Astyanax mexicanus: one gene and its partner. The protein of the gene in region 2 purifies or fractionates together with the protein of the main gene of each other region. This does not show direct contact. Links are inferred from orthologs where the notes say so. Each region holds a gene or a part of one and is shown on either strand. Other genes may lie near its edges.

Region 1 (8,990 bases), on a different chromosome or scaffold from region 2:
TTAATGAGAAAAACAATGCTTTTAGGTAAAAGGGGCTTCCCAAAAATAAACATTATATAATAATAATAAACACTATATTTGGGGGGCACTTTGACCTAAACATTGTAAATGTAGAAGAGCCTTAAACCTTCAAAAACTTTCTCTCAATTTCAACACTTTTAGGCAGTGTTAAACATATACTGTTTTTACACCACAAACATTGATTCAATGTTCTTTACCATCTGAGTAGTATGTTCTATTGAAAGTGAACATTACGTAGCTGATGACCTACACATTGTGTAAGACTTTCCCCGGTAATAAAAATTTGTTATGGAACAGAGTTGCGTAACGCCCTGTTCTCCGCTGGGTGGCGGTATTACCCTACAGCTGCTTCGCTGGGAAGGCACTCCTTCTGACCAGCAGAGAGGACTTTGTACTGTTACTGTGATGTAATTTACAGTCTTCAATGTCTTTCGGTGTCGCCACTTAATCAGTCCTGCTGATAAAAGCTTCATTTAAATGTATTCAACGTTTAATTTAGAAAGCTAGTTTTAACTCTTACTACCTGTTCAGACTCCAGGTAGCCAACTTAACCTGACCTTCCAGATACTGTAGAACTCTCAGGCCTACCATTAAGACAGCAGTGGGCAATTTAAATTCTGTAGATTAACAAAGATTATCTTTTTAACTCCACGAGGACAGTGAGGTTGCTGACCTCTGGAAGTGCTTCTAGCCTCAGTTGACTGCGCCCACGTGAGGAGACTTTAGTTAATTCTCAAGCTGCTTCAATTTAACACAATAAATTAGGCAGCATGAAACAGAATTTAGATAGAGCTACTAATACACAGAATCATAACAAATAATAAAATATTGGATAGTTACGTTTCACTTCTGATTGCTGAAAAATTGTATTTCACCTCTTAAATACATGTTCCATCTGATGTAACATGACCATATTTCATAATAGCTTTTTAAAATGAAAGCTTACTAACTTGATGACTAAGACCAGTAAATCAGCACAGTACACTTCCTCACACCCATTGAATTAAACAATAAAAAAAAAAAAGAATTACACAACCAAGAACAGATTTTAAAATGCAAACAAAAGTTAAAGCCAGATTCTCCACATTCTTTCAAAGATATCCTTTTAACCAGTTTAAATAAGTGTTTAAACTCTCATTACACATGACCTGCAATAGGAGACCAATATACTAGGCCTTTTGGAAGCCTTTCATAGACAGTGGCAAGAGACAATTTATCTTTTCCACTTTTATTGACAGTAGTTTCATCTGGTACATAACTTAACATGGCTACCAATAAGCAGACAGACACCCTTAGCTTGCAATGTAACCCACAACACTTCGACCCAAGAGTACAGCAAAATAATTTAACATGCACCCACTCCTGTGAAATCAGGGGGATACAATTTTACCCCCCCCAGGTAAAATGACCTGAAAGTCACAGGAATAACACTCAGTCAAACAGTGCCGACAGCTCAGCGGTAGTCAAAAAAAAAGATTAGAATCCTCATGGACGGGCATCAGTAGCATGCCGTGACTTAAAACCACAATGAATAGTCCTGGTCGTTCAGTGGCGTGTAACTGTTTGAGTAGATGCTGTTTAAAAGACAGAAAATGCAAAACTACAGACATTTAATTTAAATATCTCCATCCTCATCCTCAACCATTACGATGTGGATGCCTTCAGGTATGCAATGAGGTCTGCACGCTCGCCCTTCTTCTTGATGCCGGCGAAGATCATTTTCGTGCCAGGAATGTATTTCTTGGGGTTCTCTAGGTACTCCATTAAGGTATCCTCATTCCAAGTGATCCCTAAAACAAAACCATTTGAAAGATTAAGAAAAGTAGCAAAACCAATGAATAGTGTACAAAATGGTCTGAGACACATTAAAGGCCAGTCCTGTAAAGGAAAAACACAGCAAACTAGCTTCAAAACCATTAAGCCCACCAAGGAGACATTGTCCTTGGTTAAATACCCTCCTGGTGAACTCACCTTTGCTCTTGTTGGCATCTGTGTAGGAGAAGCCCTCTGCCTGTCCAGTCTTGCGTCCGAAAAGACCCCAAAGGTTGGGGCCAACCTTGTGCTTGCCACCGTTCTCGACTGTATGGCACTGTGCGCACTTCTGGACGAAGACCTTCTTTCCCTTTTCGACGTCACCCATGTTTTCTAAAAAAAAGAAAAAAAAAAAAAAACACAAATATATAAAAACACCATCATAAAACTCTATACACTTTACAGCTGGTATAAAAAAGGTTCTGAGTCATAGCCGCAGCGCACAGAAAGTGATGCTATAGGATCAGGACACACTAAGGTCACTCAAGGAGAATGCAAGCAAACCCGAGTCTCTTTTGCTTAAACACAGCTGCTGCTAACTGGCTGCTCGCTAATCTCTTAGAAAGTGAAACCAAAATCTAATCAATCAGAGAGCTTTAAGAGCCGGCAGCGCGTGAGAACCGGCATGCTGGCAGAGAACAGGAGCTAACGTAGCTAACATTAGATTACAACAGAAATGTCCCCGCTCTGTTAAACCTGAGGACACGAGCTTCTGCTAGAAACATAGTTATGGTAACTACAACAGCAAACAGGCCAGAAAAGAAAAACAGTTTTAATTAAATATAAACTGTCTGCGTCCAAAGTTAACATTAACCAAGATAAGCTAAGCTAACTAGCGCGGCTAACATGACCATATAAAAAGGCTAGTGACCTAGCTAGCCTGCTAGCTAAGCTAAGTTAGCTGTAGCAAGGTCGGAGTGAGCATCTCCATCCGAGACATTAATAATGAATCAGAAAACCGGGGTAAGTTACTTGATATCAGTCCACATAATATCATGAAAACGCTGTAGTTTGTAGGTTACAGTTAGTTAGTTAACTAGCTAGCGATATTACTTTGCTACAAAATTAGTGTTTTTAAGCCAAGAGATCTACACATTTTTTAAGCCGGATGAAAGACTAACGTTAAACCTGACGAGTGTGAATCATCCATCACGGTTAGCGCGTTAGCCGGGCGGCTAAGCTAACCTAGCATTAAGAGCAGATGTGCTACAGCTCTCATTCGGCTGGGAAAATCTCTCGACACTGCGAAAATCTCACAACCATATATAAGCTCATAGCAGAACAACAGATAAAATTTATGATTAAGAACACACATATACACTGATACATTTCGCCCTACGAACTACTAGATTAAATAGTTTACTCGGCTCAGGAAAAAACCGGGTGCCGGTTACTTAAGTCTTCAAAGGCCCTTATCTAACAGCTCCTCCGCTAATTCACTAATTTCTCTCTCTGTCCTGAAAAACTCCGCTAAATCTACAGCTTTAATATAAAGAACAGATTTATGAGTAAACTCTCTTTATGAAATACCCGCTATAATCTCTCTCTGTAAGGAAGGAAGGAAAGCCACTCACCCTGCGGATGGTGTTTCTCTCTCCCTCTCTGGACCCGAAGAGTCGGATTCTGCCGCTCGACCGAAAGAAGGTCACTACATTTTAGAGGCTCGCTCAGATGACGTAGCACCGCGGCGGCGCCGCCTCGTCACGTACCTCTCTAGTGAAGCCCAGTTCGAATCAGTTTCACGAACCGATTCTTTCTAACTGTCCTTCACAAAGTGTTCAATTCAGCGACGCATTGATTCAGTCACATGCTGCAACTATACTATACTATACGATACTATACTATACTATACTTTATTTTATACTATACTATATTATAATGTACTTCACTGTACAACACTGTTCTATATGTTATCATACGATATCACACACTTTTATATTATACTATACTATATAATACTATACTGTACTATAGAATTTCATACTGTACTATACAAAATGTATTAAACTGTACAATATACATTTCTATGCTATGCTAAACATTTCCATACTATACTATTTTATGAGGTATTTTATTGTACCACACTGTACTACATACTATATCATATCATACCATATTATACTATACTTTTTTTAACTGTACTATAAAACTTTTATTAAACTGTTTAAATACTTTCTATACTATACTATAGTACACATTTCCATACTATACTATACATTATTTTATACTATACAATTTTATCAGGTACTTTACTGCACCATACTGTACTATGTTATCATACTCCACTGTATTGTACCATTTTAAATAGTACTAAACAAACTTTTATTAAACTCTACAATATTCTTTTCTTATACTACTCTAGTGTACAAAGTGTACAATATTATACCATACTATACTATACATTATTTTATAATATACCAGCTCAAACTTTAATTTACAGTATCATTCTGAACTATATGTTATCACACTATACCATACAATATTATATTATACTATACCATTTTATACTATACTGTACTGTAATATACCATTTTTTATTGTACTATGCAAACTTTTATTAAACTCTACAATATGCTACAATATACTGTACTTTACTTTACAATACTGCACTATATTATCGTACACTACTTACGGGCCTACTAATAAATTTGCTTCCATTGATTGACTTATTTAAAATACTATAAAGTATGGAAATACCTAGTTTTAGACACATCCTAAATGTCAAAACACTGCCAAGAGAAAGGAATCCTGGTTCCAATATCTAATGTAAATTATAGGCCTGTTACAATAATTCTGTTATTGATTTATCATACAATAACATAACTTCAATAAATTATGCTAATCTTAATATTGTTCATTATGTTTACTTAATAAGAAAAGCTCAATATGAGAATCAGCTGATATGTCAAACTTTTATTATTTTATTTATTATTATTTATTTTATTTGTCATTTATTTTGCTATCTATTTAAACAATGTTGTATTCTAAATCTAGTGTGTAAATATTCCTAGCAGTTAAAATGTCTGTCTTCTTTAACACTAATGTGTTAATGTATTATTATGTCTTTTTTAAAATAATTTTAGTAGTGTCATGAAATGGTCTTGAAATGGCAATTATATAGTTTACCGCAATTATTAACAAAGATGAATAATAATACATTTAAAAATGTTATATTTTGATGTTGCATATTGCATTTATACAGTACTGAGAAATACTGAATACTTAATAAGCATCTTTGTGAATCGGTTCAACAGAGTCCTTGAAAAGAACCGATTCACCCGCGAGGCTGGTATCGTCATTCCGCGAATGTAATCGCGTTGTAGATTCAGCTCACGTACACCAGATCCTTCTATGGAAAGGACGAGGGGGCACAACCAGTTCAGACTCGAAGTCACATGGTGTTCAGAGTGTGAAAAGAAGAGAATGGAGAACAGAGAAAGAGATTAAGAGAATACCGCATTCATAGCAGATCCAACCTCAAGACTCTTTTTTATCCAGATCACAGTGTGTTAACAGGTCTAGTAAAGTGAAGTAAGTCATCTCTCCACCTGGTATGAACATAGATTCGTTTTGTAATCTTTCATGATTACACCTGGAGTGCAATGACCTTGTTTTAGCATTATGTTAAGCAGTGCTAGTTAAAACAGCTTTACAGGTTGCTGGAATTTTCAGTTTATTACCCAAAACATGCTAAATCATCAATCTAGAATGACCTCTGTTAATTCAGTCACTGCCTAATAGAGCTTACATCGGGTCAAAAAAAAAAAAAAAAAACAGACTGACCCTACCCAAGCCAAGTAATTCTATTTTATTTGTCATTATTTTATATATTTAAACTGTTAACTATGATGAATAGCACACCTCCGTTTTCCGACAGGGTTCCAAGATCTAGAAATTTTAACAGTTTGTCCAAACACCCTTCAGACTGGGTGACACGGGGCATAATTTGCCTCTGTGGGAGAACGGAGGTGTGCTATTCATTAAAGGTAAGTACTTTTTATCATGTTTTACTACACCAAAAGTCACCATTTTACACTGGAGTTATCCTTTAAATTAGTAAAATCTGTTTCGAATGATGATAATGAACAGTGCAGCATGCAAGAATGTAGGCCTATTATTTAAGAAAACTGTTTATTAAAAAAGGGTAACATACAAGTGGAGGAGCTTGGGTGTGCACCCTGCTCAGGCCACTACTGCCTGATTATGACATTTTAAATTGTGCAACTTTTTTATGATCATAGTGTGATTTTTTACTCTGCCATATTGTGATCATCATACAATAGCTTTATGTAAAATACAAAACAGCCTTAAAAATGTAGCCCTATCACAAACCACATAATGGGAAATCAGTATAGGAAATCTTGGCCAAGCATAGAAGTTGTAGAGATTCTCCTTAAGAGAAAGACAGATGGTTTGTTTTTGTTACAACTAAAAGATACTGAAAGGTACTGATAAGTTAATGTTAATGTCTGTTCAGAGAAGACATTAAAGTTAATGTCTTCTCTGAAGAGACGTTTCTTGGTCTTGCTAAAGACGGAAACCTCTTAACTATAAAAGCAGCACCTTAGTTAAGGGAGGGACTGAAATGCCTCAGTTGTTTAATTCTGACTTTGAACGGATTGGTAATCAGTGACATAGTGAAGAAACATATTAGTCAGCAAAAGATAACTCAGTATTTGTCATCCACAGATTTCTCTGCTGATAGAGATAGATACTTGTTGAGTGTAAAACAGCTTTAAGTCATGGCATCAAGCATGTATTTTTATTATTTAGCAGTACTGGGAAGGAAAGTTGAAATCTATGGATGATAAGTTAAAAGAAGCTGAAGAGTAATTTAGAAAGCTGATCAGATTAGAACTAACGAGTGAGTACAAAAGACATAAAAGAGCTACCAGAAATATCGAAATTACATATAAAAACTGCAATAAGCACTGACAGAAGTTGAACAGCAACATATGTCTAAAACTAAGTCTATGCTTCAATGTTCTCTACCTTTTGGCCCTCTACCAGGCCAGCCATGCCACACAGAGAGTGAGAATCCTCAATCAAGATGCAATCTGCATGAGTAATCAGAGTTGACTTCTCTGATGGATCAGAATCTTTGTCTTTTGACACAATTTTAAAGTCAGGTTCAAATGAGACCTGTAACATTGTACCATCTGAGGTACTTAATAGGAGAAATGCAGGTAGTGAAACCAGAATAGAAATTGGTTTCATCCTTTTCATACATCTACTCTGGATAAGTTATCCAAGGAGATTAAACCTCCAAGAGACATGAAGCTGGACTTCACTGATCTCATGCATAAGAAAAAGAATCTGTACCCACTACATCCAAATGATACATTTGCCATAGCAAGCCAAGTCAGTAATTATTCACAAGGTAAAGAGCTTTCTAAAAAGGTGTTGAATGCTTTGGGTGACAACAACCAAAACCTTGAAAGAGCATGGGAAGCTTCCAGTTCCTGGATTAGCTGTAAATGCTGTTATTCAAATGACTGGAAGCAAATCACAAAATACAGACAAAGAAATGGAGAGTCTGCAGACTTCTGTAAGACGTTTGAAAGGGTTTTTCTGCATTACTCTGGTATCAGCCAATACAATGCTGATAATACAACCACTGGCCCCAATTTTGGACAGCTGGTTGAGACTCTACAATCAACTCTTAGACAAGCTCTGGTGACTGCTGTTCCAAACTGGAGGACAACTGGGGTGGGGTGATCTTATTAACTTGACTGGTTGTATTTGATCTAGAACCAAACCGTGCTCCATGACAATACAATAGGAAATACTTTTGGCGGGTTCTTACAGGGACACCCACCAGAGATTTCTCAGGAAATATTTCCTTTGATAATCAAGACCTTGCAGGAAGTCACAGAGCAGTTGTCTTTGATACTGGATGCTTCACAGGGAGTCAACAGTTTCTCCATATTAAACTAATTTCTTCTGGTCCCTCATCTGTGTGCTATATGTTTTTAACAATTGTATTTTATTGGGTCTAAATCAGAGAGCAAAATCTTATGCACACAAGTTAAATTCATTATCCAGGTTAAACTTACCATAAGTTTAATAAGCATGTGAATGACACCTTACTCTTTGAACCGTTTTTTTGTTTCTTCTTGTTAGTTTTTATGCTGATTGTCCTGTTTAAGTTATATTGCGCTTAAAAGTACAACATTTGAAATAATTTGCCAAGCACAGTGCAATTTACAAGCTTTTTAGACTTATTCTACTGTTGGTCTAGCATTATGTTTTATGCAGAAAAGTGAAACTAATTTAAATTCAGCTTAAAAGTAATCCTCAGGGTTTGTACGGTCATGAAAAACCTGGAAAAGTCATGGAATTTAAAAATAGCAATTACCAGGACTGGATAGGGTTTTGGAAAAATAAAAACACCCAGGACGTTTTGGAGCTCTCAGGATCTGACCCACATTTTATTATTAAAATAGATTTTTGGTTTTATTTTCCATGTTTGCACAGATGTTTTAAAATTCATATGGTCATGATAATTTGTCTTGAAGGCATAGAAAAGTCATGAAAATGTATTGGTTAAATTGTGTATGAACCCTGATCCCTAAAGAACATGATCCTTATGTACACTGAGTAAAGACTATATTCTATATTCACAAACTGTATTTTGAGCCTCTTATTTGTGGAACTCTATAGATGTGGCTTAATTGAGGTTTTAAAATTGCTCCAGATTTTTGAATCAAAGTGGGAAGCAAACACTAGCTTCACAAACACAGTTTGGTCACACTAGGGTAGTAAAAAGGTTTTAGGGTGAATTATTAGTACTCTTTGTAGTTTTCCTCAACAAGATGCTTAGTTCGAATGACCAGGCATTAAATGGAAAGAGTAGTTTTACAGTGAAGCTGTAGGATCCGGATTGAGAACTATTTTCCGGCGTTAATGTTGCACAATTGCATGGTGCACAATTAGGGTAAAGATCTCTGTTCAGCTTTGTCAAATAGTATTTAAAATGTTCACTATTCCATTATCAATTGAGGCACAAGAGCAGAACTAAAGAGGTGAAGTGTATTAATTGAAAAAGCCTGGGATGTGTACCTAGCCAGCATGCCCATGTGGGTCTCACATGGTTGGAACATGGGCTGGGTGGGTTTCAGATTAGTATGGGCTCTGAGTGGATTTGTGTATATGTT
Region 2 (9,520 bases):
TTGGTATCGTGACAACACTATTGCCTACATATGAAAAAAATATTTTAAGGCAGTTATTGATAAATATATGGTGTATTTATAGGATTTGAGAACTAATTACTAAATTACTAAATAGATATTATTTTATAAATATATACTTTTCAAGTGTTCCATCATCCTATTTAACAATTTATGAAGAAAATAATGTTAATTAATAGCTAACCCATCACCATTTTCATTGTCAGTTGTTTAATACCATAGCAAAACTGACGATGGCTAATTTATTTAGTCAGATTACTTGTAGGTCTTAATGTTTTGGCTCTTGCAAAGACCTGAGTCAGGTTACCTGGGAAACTTGCGGAGCATAAGGAAGCGCAGTCGCTCTTTGGCTTCCTCAATAGAATTAGGGGGTCTTGGAGGTGAATCCACAGTTTGATTCTGTTCCAACCTAAAACACAGAGACTGCATCCTCACCAGCAGCTCTGCTCTCTCACACTGTCCAACAGACAGCCAGTGAACACCGTCAGGAAAACACTCTTTAGATATGAAGACGAGAGAAAGAGAGAGAGAGAGAGAGAGAGAGAGAGAGAGAGCTTGTGATTAATAAGTTACTGCCAAGCATATAAATAATCTATGAATCTATGGAACATGAAAAGGTTTGGACACCATGGGTAAATTTTCTGAAACTGTGACTGTTACTTAAGTCAAACTCAAATTCTGAAATGAAAGTAAAAAGCGTAGGTCAAGCTGAGGTCTGCAAGACCAAGTTTCATAGAGAAGTGCTTTCACAAGTGCTAAAAAGAGCAAAGCAAACCCTTGTTTGACCAACAAAGACCATGATGGTGTACTAATCTACTGTGCAGCAAAACTTATGATCACACATAAATATAATATGTATAAAGCACAAATATGATCTTCATAGAAGCTAAATTTTGTTATGCCTAATGACCAATTTACACGGTCAATTACCCAACCCACTCATCAGGACTCCCCATCACTAGCAATGCCCCAACATCAGGGGGGTGAAGACTAGCACATGCCTCCTCCGATACATGTGAAGTCATCCACCGTCTCTTTTTGAACTGCTGATGATGCAGAATTGCTGAGTAGCATCACAGCTCGCACGGAGAAAAGCGCAGCGACTCGTTCCGATACATCAGCTCACAGATGCCTTGTGCTGCAGACATCAGCCTTTGGAGAGAGCGCCATCTACCCACCCAGAGAGAACAAGGCCAATTATGTGCTCTTGGGGCTCTGGTAGCCAATGGCAAGCTATATAAACAGGATTCGAAACGGCAAGGGCCCTGACATTTAAAATGAGACACTGAAAACTCCAGTTTAATAAAAAACACTGTTTATACACACAGTACCTTGTGACTGCTTATACACAGAGTACCTTTGGGGGGATTAGAGAATTCCACAAAAGTCTGTACACGTTACCATGTTTCACTACAACCCAAATCCACTACCAGTCCATTTTCTCACTGAATTCTGGCAGAAATTCAGAACCTCACTCACAATATAACCAAGAGAACATTTCATGATCAAATTACATACTGCTGAACTATGACTACTGGCATGTAAGGGTATTTAGCATACTGTAATGAACTGAAATGGGAAAAAATAATAATAACCTTGCTAAAATTCTTTTTAAGAAATATGCCATTTGCAAGTTACTCTACATTAGTCAAAAACTAACCATTGAAAAACTAAAATATTTATGTAGAAAAAAAAACAGTACCTTTGATTAATGAATGGTCTCTCACTGCCTCTGCAGCCAGCACAGACTTCCCTGAGCCAGCCATTCCAAACACTGTGACCCAGCCCACCACTTTCTGCAGTTGGTACAGCTTCTCCCGGACCTGGTTAAGCAGAGCAGGCCGGTTCACAAAAACCATAGGCCTTTGGGGAACTCCGCCTTCACTCAGAATAAGCTGAACTGAAATAATTAGAGCAGAGAGAGATCAGATATAACCTAATCCTAAAAAAGGCAAAAACAAAAAAATACTTTTTTTACAGAACGGTTGGTGTGTTACTCTCATTAACTAGAGTTAGATTAGTCTTATTTAGCCACTGAGGCTTGTGGAAGAGCATGTTCCTTGTGTAAAAGAGTTAACTGTGAGTTTCTGGGGTTACTTAATGACATGTAATTCTGTGTCCTATGGGTTGGTGGCTGTCCCAGTTGGTTCATGGTCAATGTGGACGAGGCACACTGAATTTAGAACTTTTTCCTCTCCCTTCGACAATTTCACCACAACGTACTACAGACTATTAGTAAAATCATTAGTGAAATCATTTTAGTAAGAAGGAGGCAGTTTAATGTTTACCTAAGGAAGAGACCCCATTGGAAAAGCTCTTTTCACCCTCAGGGCTGAGTTGTGGCAGGTCATTATGCAGCAGGTTGGCCAGGTCTCCATAGCTCTCTCTAACCAGGGCATTGTAGAAGGAGATGTAGGCTCTGTTGTCTTTCCGCAGGAGGACCTCCAGCAATGCTGCTGCCTGCTCTCTTCTGGTGGGCTATAAAATAAAAGAGAGCAAAAGTGAAGCAACAATGTCATAAAGAGGAACCTCACATGCTACATCATCTCTGTAACAGCTTTTAAACCTTCTTTTTTTACTTCATATTAACCATATCTTACACCCTTCACAAGGCTCATCGCAATATTCACTGTTATCTTACATCCCATCTATAGTCTATTTTCACACTTTGAGTCTGCATCGTTTAAATAGCAAAGATGTTCACAGACATACAGTATCTAAGCCAAGGGGTATGGTGGTCTGGAAGTGAGGTGTATTGCGATCTTGGCAATGGAAAAAAGGTGCGCCAGTGGCTGATTAAAACCCTGACAACAGTCATCAGTCAGTTTACTGGTCTCTTGGCAATGCAGGCATGCCTCATGTGCTCAATGTACATACACGCCCACTTGTTACACACACATGGACCAGAGGCAGTGCACAAACCCAACTTTACATTAAAATAGAAAACAAAATAAAATAACATTGCTGTTCTCATAAATGAGAACACAAGAGTGCACCTGGCTGTTAAAGTGATTGGGAAGTGACACACTAATTGGTTTGATGCATGATTACTTAAGAGAATCAGTGTATATGTATATATATATATATATATATATATATATATATATATATATATATATATATATATATATATATATATATATATATATATATATATATACATACATACATACATATTTTATATATATATATATATATATATATATATATATATATATATATATATATATATATATATATATATATATATATATATATGACCTTATTAATACTAAATCTAATACTATTATTTTTTTTATTCATGCTTAATTTGGGGTATTATTTTGAAACTTACCCAGTGGCAAAAAGTTTAATCACATTACAGACATTAGGAAAATGTATTGTTATACTGTGGTGCTCTTCCTCAGACAGGGAATTTAACCTAAGTCTGGGATATGGGAGAAATGGTGTTACCAACTGCACACTGTACAAATATTGATATTATAAAGCACAGTTTAAATGTAATAAAAAACAAGTTTAAGTATGTGCCATATAACTTTTGACCAGTGGCTGGTTGTTAACCTGTATCTGGGTCTATTTGCTATACCTTGCTGAGTACCCTGTCCTCTTCATCTGTTGTCAAGACCCCGTCACTGATCATGTGGTCCATGAGGTAGGAGGCCTTTATATCTTGCTCCAGAGTGTCTTTGGAGCGCAGCAAACAGCTGCGAGCCCTCTCCTCCATCTCCACACACACCCACCCACGCACACCCACCCACACACACACACACACACCCACCCACACACACACACACACACACACCCACACCCACACACACACACACACACACACACACACACACACACACACACACACACACACACACACACACACACACACACACAATGTTTCCTGCAGACACAATAAAGATGGACAAGTATAATCATCTCAAGGTAGCTTGTTCTTGTTCTTGTTCTGTTGATCCTAGGATTATTTCAGATAGAGGTAAGAACGTTTATTTAAAGCCAAAATATAGGGTCTGTAATTGTATTTCTGATTTATTTAAAATTAAGAAAAATTGCATTTAAGAATAAAAAAAGAGGACCAGGGAAGTTTGACAATTGATTGTTTACTTTGAAAGAACGTAAACCTAAAAAACAACCCAGACCTTAAATAAAAGTTTTCTTAATTATTTCAATCTGAGCAATCAGCAACATACGAACTGTCCACTATTGATGCAGTATTCAACATATGCATACCAATCTTACTCAACAACATATGGTATGTGTAACATTATTCTAAACATGGTAAAGCACATAAAAACAAAATCAAATTATTAAAGAAAATAGTAAATTATTATTTTGTGAAGGCCATATTGTAAATAATATATATATATTTTTTAAATATAAGAGTTTGATGGGTAGTATGTAAGCACATTTTTAACAGGTTTTAACTGGTTTAAAATCACCAGTAGCAAGGAACAGGTGTGGGCAATACAAAAATAACACCTGAAACCACAGAAAAAGGAGAGAAATTAATTTAATCTTTGCAGAACAGAAAGAGGATAAGAGAACTGTCTGACGACTGAGAACCAAAATTGTGGACAAATATCATGCATCTCAATGTATCTCAAGGTTACAAGTCCATTTCCAGATATCTTGATGTTTCTTTGTCCATGGTGCACAACACTTTACAATCTATGGCACTGTAGCTAATCTCCTTGGACATAAACGGATGAGAAAAACTGATAAAAGGTTGCAACTCCAGATAGTTCAAATGTTGGATAAGGAGCCCCATGAAGTTCTAAAGAACTTCAAGCTGACCTGTAGGCTCAGGTGCATCTTATCCATTGTTACAGGGACAGATATTTCTCTCCAAAAAGTGTGCAATAATTCTGTCCATCCAATTTTGGGTGTTTTGCGTGAAATTTTCTCAAATTTTGCCTTTTCTGTGTGTTTTTGTGTTTTTCCAATGCACACAATAGAAATAAACATGTATATAACATTACGTGTAATTGCAATGATTTTCTGGGAGAAAAACTTTGAGGCTGCCAACACTTTCGACCATAATTTTAATCATTATAAATACTTTAATAATACTTTAATATTGCAATATATTACAGGAAATACATATATTGCAATGTTTAGTATAAAGTCAACAGTTCATTAAACTTCACTTAAGACATTAAAATACATTTTCAGCCAGGACTACTTTTTTATGGGGCACAACACAGGGTTGCAAATCCAGTCAGAGTTAATTTACATATACCAGTCTTAACGACAAAGTAACAAAATTAGCCTACATGCTATTGCTATATCAAAGTATGAGGTTGGAAAATGACAGTGTAAAAATATTTCTGATTCAAAACATCAAAGAAAACATCAAACCAAAAGAAATAGGATGTAGGCTCTTTATATATGCCACTAGTGCATTGATTGTGTTATGCTGTAAAATCGATAATATTGTTATCACTCTTTTACCTTCATATACAGTGGTGCTTAAAAGTTTGTCATTTTAATTATTTTTTTCTTCTTTACCCATTCTTTGGTGGAACGATTTGTGTGCTTAGGGTTATTTACTTGCTGCATGACCCACGCACCTTCTCTTGAGAGTCAGTTCATGGATAGATATCCTTCCATTTTTCTTTCGAATTTACTTATTTCATTCATGGTTTAAGCATACTTTGATGGATCCCTGTTCATTAAATAAAACAGGTTCTGCCCACTCACACCTGATTGTCATCCCATTGATTGAAAACAGCTGATTCTAAATTTCACCTTCAAACCAACTGCTAATCCTAGAGGTTTACATATTTTTGCCACTTATAAATACATAATATTGAATCATTTTCCTCAATGAATAAATAATCAAGTTAGGCCTGGACAATAATTCGATATCGGTATTTATCGCGATAAGAAATGTTTCAATAACGGTGATATCACTTTTGTGGTATATCGATATGTATTATGTACAGAATCTGTCACGGACAGGCGTTTTTTACTGGCGTCAGCTCGCCGCAGAGCCAAACACATTCAGCCCCCATAGCTGTGCTACCTCAGTGCGTGATGACGCAATCACACAGGCACGTAGCCAGATAGGCTAGGCTAGGCTAGGTTAAAATGGCTAGGCTAGGCTAGGTTAGGTTCAGGTCCGCTCCGCTACGCATCTAAAATGTCTCGAAACGGAGCCGGGACGAGCGGATCCAAGGCTAGGGTAGACTCGGTTCGGTCAGCCGCTGTTTCGCTCGCCCATTCGCGCGTCCGCTCGCTCATCCGCGGCTCCGCTCGCGCGTCCGCTCGCTCATCCGCGGCTCCGCTGGCCCAGCCGCGGGTCCGCTCGCTCATCCGCGCCTCCGCTCGCTCATCCGCGGCTCCGCTCGCCCAGCCGCGGGTCCGCTCGCTCATCCGCGCCTCCGCTCGCTCATCCGCGCCTCCGCTCGCTCATCCGCGGCTCCGCTCGCCCAGCCGCGGCTCCGCTCGCCCAGCCGCGGGTCCGCTCGCTCATCCGCGCCTCCGCTCGCTCATCCGCGGCTCCGCTCGCTTGCCGCTTTGCTGCAAATTGTGCCGGTGAGTGGAGCCGACAAGCAGCGTAACGTTAATACATCTAATCTGTTCTACCACCTCAAGCATCTTCACTACATACAATATTTTCCTTATACTGACTGAAGCACTTTAATAGATTATGTTGAAACTAAGTTATTTAAAGTTTATGAATCCTTTAGGTTTGTTTATTTGACGTGGATATCATGTTGAATACCTCTTGTATTCTGACTGAAGCACTTTAATAGATTATGTTGAAACTAAGTTATTTAAAGTTTATGAATCCTTTAGGTTTGTTTATTTGCCGTTGATATCATGTTGAATACCTCTTGTATTCTGGCTGAAGCACTTTAATAGATTATGTTGTCACTAAGTTATTTATAGTTGAAAAATCCTATAGGTTTGTTTATTTGACGGGAAAATTTTGTTGCTTTTATGTATATAAAGGCTTCTTGTATTATATATCCTAGTTAAAACACTTTTGTTTTAATCTGTTAAATTTGTTTACAATGAATAAGAAGCTCTGCCTCTGTTGTCATTTAAAGTTATTTTTATTTGTAATAGTTATATAGGCTTATGTTTGGCAGGGATGTCATGTTATTATTTTGCTATATGCAAATAAAATTGAGCATTGATTTATTTTGACTACTTTTATTTCTAAAGTATTAAAGTTTTTGTGAAACGAGGTTTCAAAGACTTAAAACATTTTCATACAGTAGTAGGTACAGATTTCCATTGGATAGATTGATACAAAAAGTGCAAATACACAGTTAAATAATAATTTAAATTTGCAGTGCAAGCTGCAGAGATTGCAGGGATTCTTTTTCTGAGGCCTTCAAAGTATTTATCGATATCGAAATTATATCGTATCGACCGAAATTTAAGGAATATATCGTGATATAAATTTTGGCCATATCGTCCAGCACTAAATCAAGTATAATATTTTAAATATATTTTTTATCTTCATTTACTTTTAGGAAATGTTATGATGTTTTAAGTCACATTTATGAAGAAATACAGAAATTCCACTAGATCTACAGCTCTGAAAGAGAGTCCACTTCAGTTTCTGAAACATGTTTCTCTCATTTAGCTATTTATAGGTATATGTTTGAGTAAAATGAACATTGTTTTTTTATTCTATAAACTACAGACAACATTTCTCCCAAATTCCAAATAAAAATATTGTTATTTAGAGCATTTATTTGCATAAGATGAGAAATGGCTAAAATAACAAAAAAGATGCAGAGCTTTCAGACCTCAAATGATGCAAAGAAATCAAGCTCATATTCATAAAGTTCATAGAGTTCAAAAACCAATATTTGGTTAAATAACCCTGGTTTTAATCCACAGTTTCTACGCATCTTGTAGGGGTGTCACGATTCTCTAAATCCTCGATTCGATTTCATTTTCGATTTGAGGGTCACGATTCGATTCGATTCTCGATTTTCTTGTTTTATTTTCTTGTTATTATTTTATGCCTCATAAAATTTAAATAATATATTTATTATTATTATTATTATTATTATTATTATTATTATAAATATTATTATTATTATTTATTAAGATATATATGGTAATGCCATCTAGTGACTTTTTTTGGTAGCAACAGTGTGCACTATTAAAACAAGCAGTTTATCAGAGCTGTGTGTGGATGGCTGGTGAAACTGCTCATTACATGAAGCTGCAGTTCTTCATCCAACCACTAGCAGCAGCAGCACAAGCCCCGCTCTCTTCACTCAGTCACTACTTCAGTACAGCCCAGCCACGGGCTACAGAGCTCAGCCAGTCCGTTTTTACTGTTTCTGTAAACAAATAAAGGTTTTAACCCCACTAACCGGATAATACAGCTCACTACAGTTCATCTTTCAGCCCAAGCAGCTAACAGCAGCAGGTTAGAACAGCCGACACGGAGTCACTGCTCGGATTACATCATAAACAGGTCAGTTAGCGCGCTGCTAACCTCAGGATGTTTATAACTACGGAGTTTAGTGGACACACCACGGCCGCCAGGTAAGTCTTTTAAAGGCTACTGAAGACTATTAAAGGCTATTAGAGTGTAACCCCTGGCTCCCAGGGGTTACAAGAGGTTATTGAAAGCATTATTGGGGGGCAGAAATCAGTACAGGCTGGTTAGATAAGTGATGTGGGTATTGTCTTATAAATATTTACACATAACTTATATCTCTCCTGAAAAGCTTTTATTTTAGTCAGAAACACGCTTGTGTTTACTTTATCTGAGAGAAAGATGTTTTTTTAATTCAATGGAAAGCAACAGGTGTAGTCAATTATAAGTTTAAGATTTTTAATCCACCTCACTGTGATCTATAGTCAGTGTTCTCAAGTCACACTGACACACGCATTTCAGCGAGTTCACACGCTCTCACCTGCGCGCACCCACCCCTCCGTTAGATACAGATACAAAACCTGCGCGCCCAACCCCCGCCCCCCCTCCCCCGTTGGACAGATAAAAACAGTGATCACACTCCCGCCGACTGCGCTCATGCAGTGGCTATCTCTATTTAAATGAATAGGATGCGCTGTGTTGGTGCCGCGCTATTTGCGTAGCGCGCGCGGGAGGGATCGTCGATCCTCTTTTTGACTTCGATACTCGAGATCGTGACCTCATTTCGATTCGATTTCGATAAAATATCGAGATCGTGACACCCCTAGCATCTTGGCATGTTCTCCTTCACCAGTCTTACACACAAAAAACACTAAAATTTAAGCAGTTCAACTTGGCTTGTGATTGTCCATCAAAAATTAAAGAAACTCAATTTTTTTTAGAGCTGTATATAACTTTTAGTGTTTACAATGTTTAGTTAGTAAGTAATGATATCATTTTCTATTAAGAACAGTAATACCACACGTTTATGGAAGTCAACGTTTGAGTATCCTGTCTAAAATTAAATATTTAGTCAAAATCTGATAATGTTTTGTGTGTGTGTGTGTGTCTTAACAATGTCATATTATGGCAGTATATAAT

Evidence for each region.
Region 1: the proteins of apaf1 (region 2) and cytochrome c purify together in Homo sapiens (affinity purification with western blotting; 3 studies listed by BioGRID and IntAct, with this or other methods). This does not show direct contact. The link is inferred for Astyanax mexicanus from reciprocal best matches to the Homo sapiens genes APAF1 and CYCS.

What each region holds. Positions count from the first base shown.
Region 1 is NC_064412.1:39,207,121-39,216,110, forward strand, and holds cytochrome c, read right to left. Parts: upstream 3,517-8,990; 5' UTR 3,408-3,516; intron 2,167-3,407; 5' UTR 2,162-2,166; coding exon 1,993-2,161; intron 1,812-1,992; coding exon 1,666-1,811; 3' UTR 1,234-1,665; downstream 1-1,233. UniProt on the Homo sapiens protein: Electron carrier protein. The oxidized form of the cytochrome c heme group can accept an electron from the heme group of the cytochrome c1 subunit of cytochrome reductase.
Region 2 is NC_064409.1:37,144,652-37,154,171, forward strand, and holds the start of apaf1 (apoptotic protease-activating factor 1), read right to left. Parts: upstream 3,905-9,520; 5' UTR 3,743-3,904; coding exon 3,605-3,742; intron 2,497-3,604; coding exon 2,307-2,496; intron 1,919-2,306; coding exon 1,721-1,918; intron 516-1,720; coding exon 326-515; intron 1-325. UniProt on the Homo sapiens protein: Oligomeric Apaf-1 mediates the cytochrome c-dependent autocatalytic activation of pro-caspase-9 (Apaf-3), leading to the activation of caspase-3 and apoptosis. This activation requires ATP. Isoform 6 is less effective in inducing apoptosis.